3 linked regions of the Arabidopsis thaliana genome follow. The protein of the gene in region 1 interacts with the protein of each later gene in a pairwise test. Each region holds a gene or a part of one and is shown on either strand. Other genes may lie near its edges.

Region 1 (4,541 bases):
TTGTGTTCGGCAGGGTCTTGTTGACATGCTTGATAGTTTTCTTGCTGTACATAATAATCGCATCTTTCTGCGGAGGAATCACTTTACCATCATGCAGATCTTAAAATCTGGCGGCCTTATCTAAGGTATACTGAAACGGACCACTGTTTTTGTAAATCAACTCAGTCGCATCATTTCGATTTGAAGCCTTGGTTTTGTCATGAAAATGACTGTGAGTTTGAAGTTACATGTCATGGTCCTCCTTGCTTATGTAACTCTTGTAAATGTCAAAATCAAAATGATACAGAGGTTCATTGAACTCTTGCCTTGTCTTTTAGATTTAGTCACGTGAGTGAGTTTGTTCTCTGTATTTCCAAAACTTTATCCGCTGTGTCTTTATAATTTTTGCATTTGCAATGTACATCACATATTCGTTATTTTTGTTGTTAAAATTACTTCAGTTTTCATCTTTGTTTAATAACATTTCTGATTCACAAATATCTGTTTCCATCATTTCTGTCTATGTTTTCATTAACTAAATCATATTAGTTGCTACTACCTTTTTAGCAAGTTTGTCATAACTTGTTACGACTTTATATATGTCATCGATACAGTTTAATCCTGCCTGTACTGATGAACACAGTATGAATATAACCAGAATGCTTAGCACTTGTAGTTGGAAATAAACTCTTACATCCAAAAAATTACGAGAAACAATAGAGTGAAATAAACAGCTACATAGTTGTCTTAGCTGTATTGATAGTCGGGCACTACACATGCATCGGAACAAATGTATCCAGTATATGGATCACAAAGCTTTAGAATGATAGGAGCTCTGCATCTGGAGTGACATTTTGCACAGAAGGGGCGAGAACTATAGCTGTTAAGAACCACTTCAACTCTAACATTATTGTAGTTGATGATGCGTCCTGGCATGAGACGTGAAAAGTCTCCAAGCACACATTCAATATGTGCAGTAACCACACATTTAGAGCAAGTGTAGAACCACTTACTTGGATCTGTTTCCGCCTCGCAAATATCACACCAATATTTTCCGGTTGCATTTTCGCCATAGCATAGGGAAAGAGGATGATTGTCGCAGCTGTGCTTTACCGTTTTTGGTAAATCAGTACAGTGTAAATCCAGATCAAAGTCACAAGTGTCACAGGAAAGCAGATAACCATCTATCTCTTTATAACATGCATCACAACAGTGATCTTTCTTATGTTCGTAATATAGAGGATGTCTGTGACCATCATGAATGACCGGTTCAGAACGCGAACCACAACGTACATCTAGAACCCACCAATCAGAAACGTACCTGAAACCAGTAGACTTCGTTCTACAAGCATAGCAGCGAAAGACATCGTAGAATCTAAAATCTTTGCTATGGAATGTACGAGGTGGTCTGGACCATAGTGTGAATGGTTTTGTGTGGAATACATGTCGTTTCTTTTTTGGATGATTAGCGCATTTCTCATGGAGAATGAAACGACATTCCTCACAGTTGTAGATCGGATCGGAATAGATAGGAAGGACGCATGCTTCACAACGTGAGCCTTCGTCACGATTGATATTGTCCTTGTTGAGTCTTAGATTATGTTCTTCATGACTGAAATGCTTGATCAAGTTATCACCCACCACTTTGAACGGCACAATATCTTCGTCATCATCATCTGGTGTCCCTTCGAGTTCTACCCCATCCCATACGTCTTTTCTTGTTGCACATAGTGAATGAGCTGCATAGTTCGGGCAACGAGGGCATAAATAAGCCCCATGGTATTGACTTATATCTTTGCGACAAATACCGCATCTCGAGTACCCAACACCGAGATGATGGGTGAAAGAGATGCGATGATCGTGACGGTTGATGTTTATGACACGTGGTAAGTCAATACAAGTTCTATGGACAACAAACCCGCATTGAACACACATGTAAGGACTTCGATCACCTTGCATCCCACAAGCATTACATTCAAATGAGATGAGTCTTGATAAGAGGACAAGTCGATGCTCGTGCGTCTTATGATGCTCGATAGCAAGTGGTGGTGGATCTTTTGTACAGAATCGACATACGCTGAAGTTGCATATCGAGCAGCGATAAAGCACTTTGTCTGGTCGTTCTCCACATAAAAGACATGTCTCTTCAGCATCACTTGTTAGTGATTCATATTCAAGTAACTTGAGAGAATGTTGAGGATGAGAAGGATGATTCACCTCTTGGGAAAGATTGACACACTCGACATGAAAGTGGACTTCACATTCAAGACATGCATAAGAACATCCACCATTATAGCCCTTGCAAATTCCGCATCTGCGCCTACCCGGCTTTGCGGGTTCTTTCAAGAAGATAACTGGATGATGATGAGACTTTGGATGTTCGATAGAAACCGGCAATGGATTTATCCCACAAGTGAGATCCACGATGAAGTCACATTTTGATGAACAACGATAACCAAAAGCGAAAAAAGTCTTGCCACATAGATTACATTTACATGGGTTCCTTAGAGAATTGTGGAGTTTAAGAGTGTGTTGAGGATGAGAAGGATGGTTGATAATCTCCGGTGGAGCCTCTGCGCACTCTTTGTGGAAGAACAAACTAGTAGAGGAAGGCTCGTTGCAACGGTAGCCGCCATAGATGGGACCTTTTATATTGCAACCTTTACAAGAATCATTAACAAAACGAGTCGAAATGGTCAAAGGATATTTGTGAGTTGGTAGTATTTTGGGTGGTAGATCCATTTTGTGATTCAAATGCGGTTTGTTTTCTGGAGATCTCAAGATAATACTACATCATATGAATGCATCTTTGTAACCCCAATATAACAAAGACACGTAATGTGTGAACACCTTAACGATTCTTGTCTCCAATGAATCATGTGCAATCGATCCTGTTTTCCACGAGATGATTATAATATATAGTTGAATTATTTCATATTCCTAACTGTTTACAACCTGCACACATTAAATTATCTTATCATCGTTATAGCTACCTATGAATATAATAGTATGAAAATACCCAATAAATTAATTTCCTAAACTCAACATCTAACGTGTTAACAACAGCTAAGATATATAATTATATTGAATCATTTCTGCAATTTCATATTCTCTATCGTGACACTCGGAGTCTTGAGATCGCTAGATTTCTTTGAATACTATGATTGGTAAAGTCGTGTGTAAAAAAGTTAGACCGAGACAAAACGAGGCACAGGAAGAACAATAACAGTTGGGCTTTTTCCAGATAAGGCTTCACCTTTTAACAATCAAATTCTACATATTGGGCCTACGAAGAGGTTCATAAGATTTGAATAGACAATTAGAAAAACAGCAATTATGTGACAAATAGTGTTTTATTCTAATTTTGGATGACTATCGGTGAAATTTTAATTTTAATCATCATATAACAAAACAAAATTCCAAAACTTCAAATTCTAAAATCAAAATTTTTAAAATACCATACAATTTCTTTTTTTTTAAACAATTGTATGTTTTGTATTGACAAAATTAGTTTTATTGATTAGCAAAAAATTCGTTTAAGACCTTAAATTTGTCCTTTGTTAATTGTTATACCAAATTTTAGCGTAAAGACAATCTCTTGAAGGAGAAAAGGAAAACAATCTCTCTTTCTGTGACCTTTCGCAACTTGTCAAAGCACCACGACCTTCTCTCTACGGAGTTGAGATCAATCCCCCCAAATCTCGGTGTGGTTCCTCTAGGGTTTTTGATCGGAATCGGAATCGATAATCTAACCGGCATGAGGCCAATCCTATTGCCGGATCCACCCAGTCTATCTACCGGCGTCCCTGATATTTTCGAACAAGGCGGTTCCCATAACGTCGTCAGACGCGCCGTCGTCATCGGAAACGGTTTCCCTGGCTCCGAGAATCAGTGTATCGGTCTCGTTCGTGCGCTCGGCTTATCTGATAATCACCTTCTCTACGTGAGTTTCTTTGATCTAGGCTCTAGACGTTTTTAGCATCTGCTTAGTGCTTTCATTTCGTCGACTATAAACCATTGATACTATACTCGAAATTCTCGTCAGTTTTTGCTAGGCGCATGATGTAGTTGAGAGATTGATGATTGCTTTTGGATAGGAGTTTCTTTTACTTTGTTGTTTCGTCGTGTGTTCTAGGTTTTTAGCTTGTTAGGTCTCAGTCTAAGTAGGAGTGGAAATTTCATATTGTTTAGTACTTCTTTAGAGTGTATGAATGTTCAGAGAAGGAGGAACTATTTGAATTTTTATGGAAACAATGAATTGGTAAATATGTAAATTTGCCAATATCTCAAGTTCTGCAAATTTAGGGTAAACAGTGGAAGGTTCTTGGGGTGTCATAACTACCTATATTGTCAGTTTTATTTATAATTTTTTTTGGTAAATCTTAAAGAGAATTGAATCATTGGTGGAGCATGATGCTGGTGCAATTACTGAATTTCGTTTACAAGGAACACTGGTAGTGGAGTCTTTAATGCTTCTTTTAGATCAGTTTGGATGCATATAAGGCTGTTTTGCTGTGTCTGGTTTCTCTAGCTTCTTGATCATTCATAGACTCGACATTCAC
Region 2 (5,491 bases), on another chromosome or scaffold:
AAACAAAACAGAAGGAGAATAGATCTTGTAAAGAGAAACCCTCTTCAGATCTGACGATTCTGCATGCCATAAAGCTTCATCATCAAACCTTTGAAGTAACAAAACAAAAACAAAGATGACCAACGCTGTTAGTGTAAGCCCAACGCTGCCGTACGGAAGCTGGCCAACGTCGCTAAGTTAGCCAACGATGCCATACAAAAAGCCAACCATCTCCACTAACGTAGCTAGAAGATGTCGGACGAAAGCCCGAATTAAACGGGACGGCGACTCACCGGAAAACTATCCGGTTAACAAAAACAAAAGAAATTTCAGTTTCTATCTTTACAAACTACGAGAGAGCGAAGAGAGAAAAACTTTTTTGTGTGGTTTATTAACTTAGGTTTTTAATTTTTTATTATTCTGGTAAAAATATACGACTAATAATGATAATTATTAAAAATATTCTTACTTAGAAATTGGTGTCGATGATAAATTGGTTCTCAGTCGAACTAGTGTTAAAATAAATAAAAATATGACAAAGAATCACATCTATGTGCTCAATGCTAGAATTACAAAGATTGAAGAGAGATTGAAATTTGACCAAATATTATCTTCCCACATTCTTATAAATAAACAAACTTCATTCCTCACAACACAAAAATGTACAAAACCAACAATAAGCAGAAATTAAAAAGAGAAAAATGGTCACAATCTCAGATTTAAAAGAAAAGAAGACTAAAAAGCTTAGGCTATATCTATGACTAACTGAATCAAATCCAAATACAAAACAATTAGCTTTGTACAAAGAATCCAGCTTTGAATCTCAATCATTCATTATTTATCATCAGAGATTGATAAGGAACCTTCTTGATCTCCACAAATGTTGAGTACTCAGTGCTCATTGGTTGCTTCCATGGCTCACCATCCATTTGCAAGAATGCGTCTCTCCAGTCACCTCCTCTTAGCTCAAATCTTACCGCAGCAGCCTGAAATGATCACCAAAATGAAACAGTCAAACACATGGCTAAAAAGATTATACATTGACCAGTGTCTTTTGAAGTTACCTGAGCTATGTGCTTGGCAGAGATGAGCTCAGCCATGACAAATGACGCGTGCCATCCTTGCTTAAAACCGAAAATCTCTATCAAACCATCATCACAATGTGCTTCCACAAAGCCTCTCTGAGAAAAACCAAAGAAAACATTCGGGTTAACATCAGAGAACTGAGTTCATATATGATGAAATGGAACAGAAACAATACCTTCTCTAGATAGTCCGGTTTTAGATTGCCCCAAGGATGGCTTCCACTTCCATAGCTGTGAAGATTCAATGCGACAATTGATCTCACACTACAAGAGAAATCCATAGCATCAGGTTTTAAGCATTGATATCAAAGATTGTAATACATAAATCATATATCGAAAACTGTTTTTTACTTTTTCGGGACTGCGATCTCTTCCCACTGAGAGCAGTTAACCTTTTTGATGTGAATTTTCATTATGTTCCTAAGTCCCCTGCAAATTCATATAGCACAAACAAGGGGTCAACAACACAACAAAGGGCTTAAGCAGAGACTTACACACAAGTTCAACTACACAATAAGAGTCGAAATGGCGAACCTTAAACCTGGATCGTTGACACAAGGCGTGCAAAACCAACCCTGACTGCAACCAAAACTTGAATATATAATCTGCAAAAGCAAACATTGTGTGGTTGGTAATGTCGTTTCTCAAAACCAACATAACTACTTTAGCTTTTAACAAAGACAAATAATGAGTCCAAAGTTTAGGTGCAAATATAATAAACAAACCTTATTTGAAATAGGGCCTTGAGCAAGATATGGTTTAGTGTTGCGAAGATGGTGGAAGCCATATGCAACTTGAGCATCCATACCTAAACAAACCAGACAAACACAAGAATCTGGTCAGAAAAACAATTGTGAAAATTGTTTAGGATATCAAAAAGAGAAGTTCAACAAACCTATGCTTAAGTAATTGTAGAAAACACCTTCATAAGCCTTTGCAAGTGGAGGCGCATCAATTCCCGCGTCCAAACCCTGAAACCACCATAAAGCCTGGTTAATTACTAAACCGTGGCAATTTACAAAATCACATGCTGATGATTCAATGAGAAGAAGCAAGCCTAATGAAATAGAGCAAAACCTGATCAAGTTCGTTTTCTTCAGCGGGTTTTAAAGAATAAGGAGGATCTACGACTTCTCCAGATGGCATTGACACTAAAATCTTCCAGCTGCAACACCACATAACCAAAGCGCATACATTTTTACAACAAGAGAAATACAATAAAAGCTAAATGTTTTGAGCAAAATAAGACTTTTACCTGTCAAGTCTAGCAACTGGACCCATACTTGCGCGATGGAGTGTTCTTTTAACAGCAGATCTCCACGCAAAAGGAAACGAACCACCCTGAAGAAGAGATACCATAGTCAGTACCAATTCAAAAGTTTTGTCACGACAACATAAGAGAGAACAAAGAAAACACAACTCACCCAACCAAAACTCCTTGAAAGATCATTCCCTGTACCGAGAGGAATAACTCCAACAGGAGGAATTTGCGACTTTCCATCTTTATTAAGCTCTCCAAGACATCCAAGAACCCAACCAACAGTACCATCACCTCCTGCAACCTATCCAACCAATTCCATTCACAATTCTGATTGCTAAAAACATTCAAGTGGATCTATAGAGATTGGAGAAAAATATGGTCAATACACTCACCATAATCCTCAACCTTGCTCTGCATTCTTTTGCACATTCATCTCCTTCCGCTGCCACTTTCTCCAAACACCCCAACCCGTATCGAACAAACTCATGCGGCTTCACTTCCGTGAGGTCAAACACCTGTATCAACACAAAAGTCACCATGAAGTTTCAATATCAAAAGCTCAAACCAATAACTTGACAACATCAACATCACTCAGCTTTCCAAAAGACTCAATCTTTAAACGTAACTCATCCTTCAAAGTTCCAACAAAACACTAGATCTAACATCAGCTAAGCATAAACATATAAATCAAGCATTAAAAACTTAAAAGCCAGAGACTTTAAGAAAGTTTCCAAACTAACATAATCAAAACACAAAGTAGATACAAATTAGATTCGAAATTCCCCCAAAAACCCAAAGAAAAAGATTTGAAATACAAGTTCAGTGAGAGCAAAACCTGTTCCTCGCTCATCAACTGTTGAAGCCTCTCTTTAAGAACAGGACCATGACGACCACCAGAATTGGGGTTAATGAAAACAACCATAGGAGCATGAGGAGCCATATCAGCAACAGCACCACCAGGAAGAAGTAAATGATCAGGAATAGCCGAGGAATCTTTGCGTTTGATACAGTCACGCATAGCGAGACGAAGATACTCAGGCATCATCAACCTCTGACGAAGCTCTACTTTATCTACACCAACCCATGCCAGATTCGCGAGTCCACAACCTCTCATCGTCTTTGAATCAGCCGTTGATGGTCGTGAAGCCACGAATTTCTCTTTCGATGCATCGGTTTTTGATACCGGAGAGTCCATTGTAGTCTCTCGCCGGAGAAGAAAAGACAAAAAGATGATTACTTTTCGTCCTGTGATTGGAGAAAATGAGGAATATTCGAAACCCAGATAATCAAAATTGGAGTTGAAATGAAAAATAATAAAGGATTGTTTTTTTTTAATCTTTCTTCTTCTTCTTTGCTGAGAGATTTCAAATCAACCAATATAAAATCTTCTTTTGACAGTTTGTATTTTCTTGTCTGTTTTGTCTTTTTTATAAATGATTTAGTTTCGAAGACAGCGCACAAAACGTGTGAATTAATTTGCTTATATTGAAAAAAAAAGAATTTACACGGTTGGATTTCAATGTGACGTCATAAAAATGCCACTCTTTAGATCTTTGATTCTTTTTCTTTTTTTATTGTTTGACATTTATGAAAGCGACTGATAAATGTTTATTTTGTAAAAGTTCTAATTTAGAATAATTTTGATTATTAATAATATTAAACTACTAAGATTTGTATAGTTTAATACCATTATCTTCTGTAACTAAGATTTGTAGATCTTTTGTTTCTGTAAGATCAAATTTACAATTTAAAGTGTACAAAATCTTACAATACTAATGATGGCATAAAGAGATTAACAATGAGATTTTTTAACGTTATTGTTATATCAAGAAAACCAGAGAAAATTAATTAGTAATTGATTGATACATTGTAAGAATAGGATCTAATGATATTTTAATATTCAAAAAGGTTCCATTATAGAGGTTACATCTGGTGAATATGATTGAATACAATTTGATATAGAGAATTAGAGATACTTGCATTATTATTTGCTTCCTATTATTATTTGACTGCATTATTGGTTTCTTTTTCTATGTAAAAAATATTTTCAACTCTCCAACAAAGAAACAAAATTCTCTGACATTTTGCTTAGAAAGAGTGGCGTTTTCGTCATTAAACAAAGGAATAGTTTTGGTGGTAACGTAAATTGTAAAAAAACAGCGAAGGAGACAATAGAAAATGAGAGCAGACATTGAAGTTAGTGGATTTTCCACAGAATGGGGCCTACAATGTTATTGCCCACTCAGAGAAATAGGGTCACTGAAAGTGATAGCTACTTCCCATTGCTGGGATCGTTGTGTACTTTTTCTAACCTAAATTTCCCTCAATGCCTTTTTCTTAACTTATAGAATTGGTCGAAACTTGAAAGTATATACAAATGCCACAGAAAAAAACATCATTTAATACCTTCTTAATTGCACGATATGATATCAGATGTTTTGTAACCAAGAATTGGTCCATGTAAACAATTTATTATGTGGCAGAGGAAGACTCAAATTCAGGTGGCTGATAAAAAGTGGGGTTTAAGATATTTCTTGAACTGGAAGACAATGAGCGTGTGTTCTCATTAGTATTACAAATCATATTTACATTATTATAAAGCGGAACATATTTACATTATACTCCAAATGATGTAACTATAAAATTTGATCTAACAATATATATCGTTAAGAAAAATAACCTAAATTTATCACAGCTTATTCATTTACACTCCTATAGAATCATAGATTTCCTACTCTTTTTTTTTTGTCATCATATAAACATATACTACTTTTTGTTCAAGGATCAATGTTTCTTAGTTTGGTGAAAGATAGAAGTAAACTGGAGTGGGCCAATGGTTAGGCGTGTAAGCCCAAACTTTGGAACGATTTTAGCCCATCTCAAAAGGAGCGTGCTATATTTTGTAAATGAAATTGCAAAATTACCTAACACAAATTTTCCTATAAAAAAACATTTCGGGTAAGAAACCGACAATTATAAAATAAAAATTGTAAGACATGTTTTATTGACACATGGAAAAATGAAGTTGGCGAAAAAGACAAACAGTAAACGTTAAGATAAAACCCTACCTATAAATATACCTTACACGCCACCTGACTTTATCAAAACCAAAAACACAAACCTTCAACGGCACGCTTTCTCCTCTGAAATCTCTGCGAGCAAACTT
Region 3 (4,776 bases), on another chromosome or scaffold:
TTGATACCTTGTTAAAGCAGGAGCGTTTGTCTGAAGGTCAAAAGAGAAGAGCGTCCCGTAAATTCACGTCGAGAGTTCATGTTGAAGATATATGCCAAGTTCTTAAAGCTGCCACTGAAAAGCCAGCATCAGGGTTTGTGTATCCCTCTTCATCTATGATCATTCTTTTGTGATGGATGATTGAACCATTGAGACGGATGAATCAACCATTTTGGCAGGGAGATCTACAATATTGTTGATGATGATCCGGCAGCAAGAGAAGAGGTGTTTGAATATGCCTTGGAGTTGATCGAGAAACGTTGGCCGGGGAATATCACCACAAAACCATTTCCATTTCTGTATGAATCTCGGGAGGAAAGTTCATTGAGAGGCGAGAAACGAGTCTGCAACGAACGCATGAAGGATAAACTAGGAGTGAAATTGTTATATCCTTCGTATAAGTCAGGACTGCAAAGCATAGTCGAGAACATGGACAACCGTTTTTGAGCACACCACAGGACTAAATTCCGCTGATCTGAATCTTTCCTGTGGAGAATTAGGGACTCTTTAGTAAAGATAGATTTTTAGTTTATCCTTTTTTGTTTCTTCTGCATTCTACAAAATGACAAGTTTGTTTCATTGGTACACATATTTTCCCCATGTGACATTTAAACATGGAATAAAAGTAAAAAGGGATACAAAATGTTTAAGGGAGCTTTTCTCTAATCCAAAGCCAGTCCTATTTTATGTCATGTTGCCTGATTAAGGCCCTGAAATGCGGAAAAAGAAGTGTTAGCAGTTGAGAAACTTAACTTTGTTTAGATGGAAAGTGAACATATTGAGTCTCGTATGGATATTTTACCTCAACGCTTGAAAAAGAATGACTTAATCTTTTATTACTATGTCTGGACCAAAAGCTCTTCTTCGAGGTAGAATCCCTGGCTTTACTCCACTTGGTGCTGACGGAACCGAAGTGCCATTTCATAAAAGACTTAGACGTGGAGCCTTTGGTATTCGAACTAGGATCCATCTTCAGACCTTTTCCTTCTCGTTTCCCTAGATTCTGGAACATAAGATCCTCACATTCACTGCGGACATAACTATCTACCACACGGTTCTTACACCTTTTGTAACTCGTTGCCTTCAATTCTGCCTCGGCTTTTAGAGCTTTCCTCGATAATTTAGTAACCTGTGTCTCTGTGCATATGGGACACGTAGGATCATACTTCTCTGTTTCATTTGTCATTGTCTCTAAGCATGCCGCATGGTAAACATGGCCGCACGCTAGAACAGCAGGAATTGGAAGGTCAAACCTGGCAACTGGAGACCTTTCAGTTAAAAGCTTTGAGCAACGCCCACAAGTCTGCTGATCAACAGAAGGGGAGCATGAGAATCTGCTACTACTACACCCACTTAGTCTTCGTCGTCCGGAACCTAAGTGCTCATTATCAAAAGACCATCTCTCCCTTTGAGACTGAGCCACGAGCTCACAAAAGGCGTTTATGGACCAGCCACCTTCAGAAGAAGCAAAATGGGACCCAGTGGCAGTGTCATTACTACAGGTCGAAAGCACAAAGGACGACCTTCCTTCAGATGTTGAGTAATTATTGGGAGATTTCAATCCCAAAGTTTGACTATCAGAAACCTGCCTAAACAACTGCTGCCCAGGTGAACCTCGAGCACGTCTAGACGGAGTTGATCTGGGAGGAAGTGAATGTGTGTGAGCTGAAGGAAGATCAGAGACCGAGGTGGAACTTGACGGATTTGGTAAAACTGATGAAACAATATCTGATGAGTCAACTATATTCTTCACCTGAAGAATTAAAAGACGAGAGGGTTAAGAGACTCTGAAGGGACGAAAAGAGACTCTGATTGGAGTAAGTAATGATCTCACCTCAACACGAACAGGACTTGCCAAGGATACATCTGCCCAGAGAAAATAGATGCATGAGAGACAGGAAAAAAATCCTTCATTACAGTAAGAAAATAAAGCTGAAATGATCTCTACCAAAAAATGAAATGTCTCTCGATCTAATCCTACCAAATAAATGTTGTTACCCCTTTGACTGGATTGAGTAGACTGGAAAAGAACATCCACGAAGGAACTAAAATCGACTCAACAGTATATTCCCAAACAATGAAACTGAAAGTTCTACACTTTCCCCACAAAAAAAGTGTTTGAACGAACATACCTGAAGGAGATCGAATCGCCAAACTTGTACCCGCTAAAGGAGCTGTAACCATCGAAGCTGTGCCCATCTCTGAGTCTGCGGATTTCTGAGAGCCAAGAGTAGCTAAACCCCCAGTTTCAGATGACGGAGGTCCTCTCTCTAAGCCTAACGACAACTTATCGATGTCAATACCTCTACTCCCAACATTATGATTAGATGAATCTTTAATCTCATCAGCTACACGCCTCCTGTTGTCCCGTCGAAAACTCCACGATGGTGAACACACTGAATTATCAATAGCTCCACTGGGAACATTTCTGTCCTTTGCAGCCACACAGCAAACAGACCCCATAATCCTTAAAAGAGAGCTGTAATGAATATGTCTTACACAATCTCCATTGGTGGTGCTTCCTAATCTACCACTGAAGAACTTATCACAGTAGCAAACCACAATTCTGCATATAAACAAACAGAATGTGAACTTCGAATCAGAGCCATTATAATACATAGAGGTGAAGGCAGAGACCTCAAAATCTAACGCAGAAATCATCAATGGAACGGAATTAAAGTAAATACAATAGATGATTCTAAAATCCGGGGGTTCACCAGGGACTCACCAGAGCAACTAGGGTTCCGCAGGATTGAAACGAGGTATATGAAGATGCGGCGGAATTCGAATCCAACGGCTGAGAGAGATTTCAATTACTCGACGGAGATGGCCGCCGATCTGAGAGAGAGAGAGACGGAGGTTGGGTGCGTCGCAGGGAAATTGTGCCACGTCACCCTTCCTCTCTTCTTTTTCTGTTCTCTGTTTTTCTTGTGCTACTATTTGTTTTTGGTCAAATTTTACTTTTTTGGTCAATTTGTTTCTTTTTTTTTTACATAACAATTTTTTTTTTTTTTTTACTGAACAAACATAACAAAATGTTTTTTTTAACAAACATAACAATATGTTTCCTAATGCAATTTGATTATATTTTTTAGTAGTACTTAGTAAGTCTTGGTATGTGTTTATGGACACATCGTTTTCGGGAAACGAATTAAATTGTACTCCGAAAATGATAAATGCATGGAGTAATTGTATACCAACTAACTTGTAATAATTTGAATCAACACATGCTCTTTTGTTTACGCAGCCCATGCATTTATCGTTTTCGAAAGTATTTAATTCATTTTGTTATAACTACGATGAGAAGCCGAGAGAACCACAGAATTATAATGAATCGGATAAGAAAAATCAACATTCTCCCCCTATAAATACAAAACAACTAGCTAAAGTTCGAAGGATTCATACATAAATCTTCAACACAACTCTTTAATTATCTAGTTTAATACAAATGGCGGCGATAGAGGACAGTCCAACGTTTTCCTCTGTGGTAACTCCGGCGGCTTTTGAGATAGGCAGCCTCCCGACAACCGAGATACCGGTGGATCCGGTGGAAAATGATTCAACAGCACCGCCAAAACCGGTGAGAATCACCTGTCCAACAGTCGCCGGAACTTATCCCGTCGTTTTATTCTTCCATGGCTTTTATCTTCGCAACTACTTCTACTCTGACGTTCTTAACCACATCGCTTCGCATGGTTACATTCTTGTAGCCCCACAGGTACATAATTTAACTATACAAAAAATAATTATGAATCATTTAAAAGGATAACTTACGGTATGTAACATGTAACATGTAAAACAAAATGTACATTAATTGAGATTGATTGTTACGTGAAAAGATATAAGTTAATTTTATATTCTTGAATGACAGTTGTGCAAATTATTGCCGCCGGGAGGGCAAGTGGAAGTGGACGATGCTGGAAGTGTGATAAACTGGGCATCGGAAAACCTCAAAGCTCACCTACCAACTTCGGTAAATGCTAATGGAAAATACACCTCACTCGTGGGCCACAGCCGCGGTGGGAAAACGGCGTTTGCGGTTGCGCTAGGCCATGCCGCAACATTAGACCCATCCATCACGTTTTCAGCTCTAATAGGAATTGATCCAGTCGCAGGAACTAACAAATACATTAGAACCGATCCGCATATCTTAACGTATAAACCGGAATCTTTCGAGCTGGACATACCGGTTGCAGTGGTGGGAACCGGACTCGGACCGAAGTGGAACAACGTGATGCCACCATGCGCACCAACGGACTTAAACCATGAGGAGTTTTACAAAGAGTGTAAGGCGACGAAAGCCCATTTCGTGGCTGCGGATTACGGACATATGGATATGTTGGACGATGATTTGCCCGGTTTTGTTGGGTTTATGGCCGGTTGTATGTGTAAGAATGGGCAAAGAAAAAAGTCTGAGATGAGGAGCTTTGTAGGTGGAATTGTGGTTGCGTTTCTCAAGTATAGTTTGTGGGGTGAAAAAGCGGAGATTCGATTGATTGTGAAGGATCCTTCCGTTTCTCCGGCCAAGCTTGATCCTTCACCTGAGTTGGAAGAAGCTTCTGGTATCTTCGTCTAGATTTGTGTTATGTACTATTATCAGAGGGGTCTTGAATATTTGAAAAACCTATCAATGTTTTCTAGCTCCAAGCTAGCTATTGTTCATGTCCTAAGTTGCATGTGTATTTTTATTAAACTCGATCAAAACATTTGTTATAGTTTTACCCCAAAACTTTACAG

What was found. Proteins that work in one complex are often made in the same cells at the same time.
Region 2: the proteins of AT5G22355 (region 1) and DGK3 interact in a two-hybrid assay, tested with the Arabidopsis thaliana proteins (one large-scale study listed by BioGRID).
Region 3: the proteins of AT5G22355 (region 1) and AT1G19680 interact in a two-hybrid assay, tested with the Arabidopsis thaliana proteins (one large-scale study listed by BioGRID).

The regions. Positions count from the first base shown.
Region 1 is NC_003076.8:7,399,942-7,404,482, reverse strand, and holds AT5G22355 (Cysteine/Histidine-rich C1 domain family protein), read right to left. Parts: upstream 2,777-4,541; 5' UTR 2,722-2,776; coding exon 727-2,721; 3' UTR 511-726; downstream 1-510. Other genes in the region: VAMP714 (vesicle-associated membrane protein 714), read left to right, coding at 14-104; ELM1 (fission ELM1-like protein (DUF1022)), read left to right, coding at 3,737-3,922.
Region 2 is NC_003071.7:8,117,005-8,122,495, reverse strand, and holds DGK3 (diacylglycerol kinase 3), read right to left. Parts: upstream 3,761-5,491; 5' UTR 3,521-3,760; coding exon 3,161-3,520; intron 2,841-3,160; coding exon 2,718-2,840; intron 2,627-2,717; coding exon 2,489-2,626; intron 2,406-2,488; coding exon 2,320-2,405; intron 2,230-2,319; coding exon 2,142-2,229; intron 2,036-2,141; coding exon 1,960-2,035; intron 1,873-1,959; coding exon 1,790-1,872; intron 1,670-1,789; coding exon 1,599-1,669; intron 1,494-1,598; coding exon 1,416-1,493; intron 1,329-1,415; coding exon 1,241-1,328; intron 1,161-1,240; coding exon 1,044-1,160; intron 966-1,043; coding exon 807-965; 3' UTR 549-806; downstream 1-548. Other genes in the region: AT2G18721 (uncharacterized protein), read right to left, coding at 5,390-5,491.
Region 3 is NC_003070.9:6,803,635-6,808,410, reverse strand, and holds AT1G19680 (RING/U-box superfamily protein), read right to left. Parts: upstream 2,982-4,776; 5' UTR 2,768-2,981; intron 2,606-2,767; 5' UTR 2,503-2,605; coding exon 2,172-2,502; intron 1,906-2,171; coding exon 1,874-1,905; intron 1,793-1,873; coding exon 842-1,792; intron 750-841; coding exon 729-749; 3' UTR 549-728; downstream 1-548. Other genes in the region: AT1G19690 (NAD(P)-binding Rossmann-fold superfamily protein), read left to right, coding at 1-133, 219-486; CLH1 (chlorophyllase 1), read left to right, coding at 3,488-3,757, 3,911-4,615.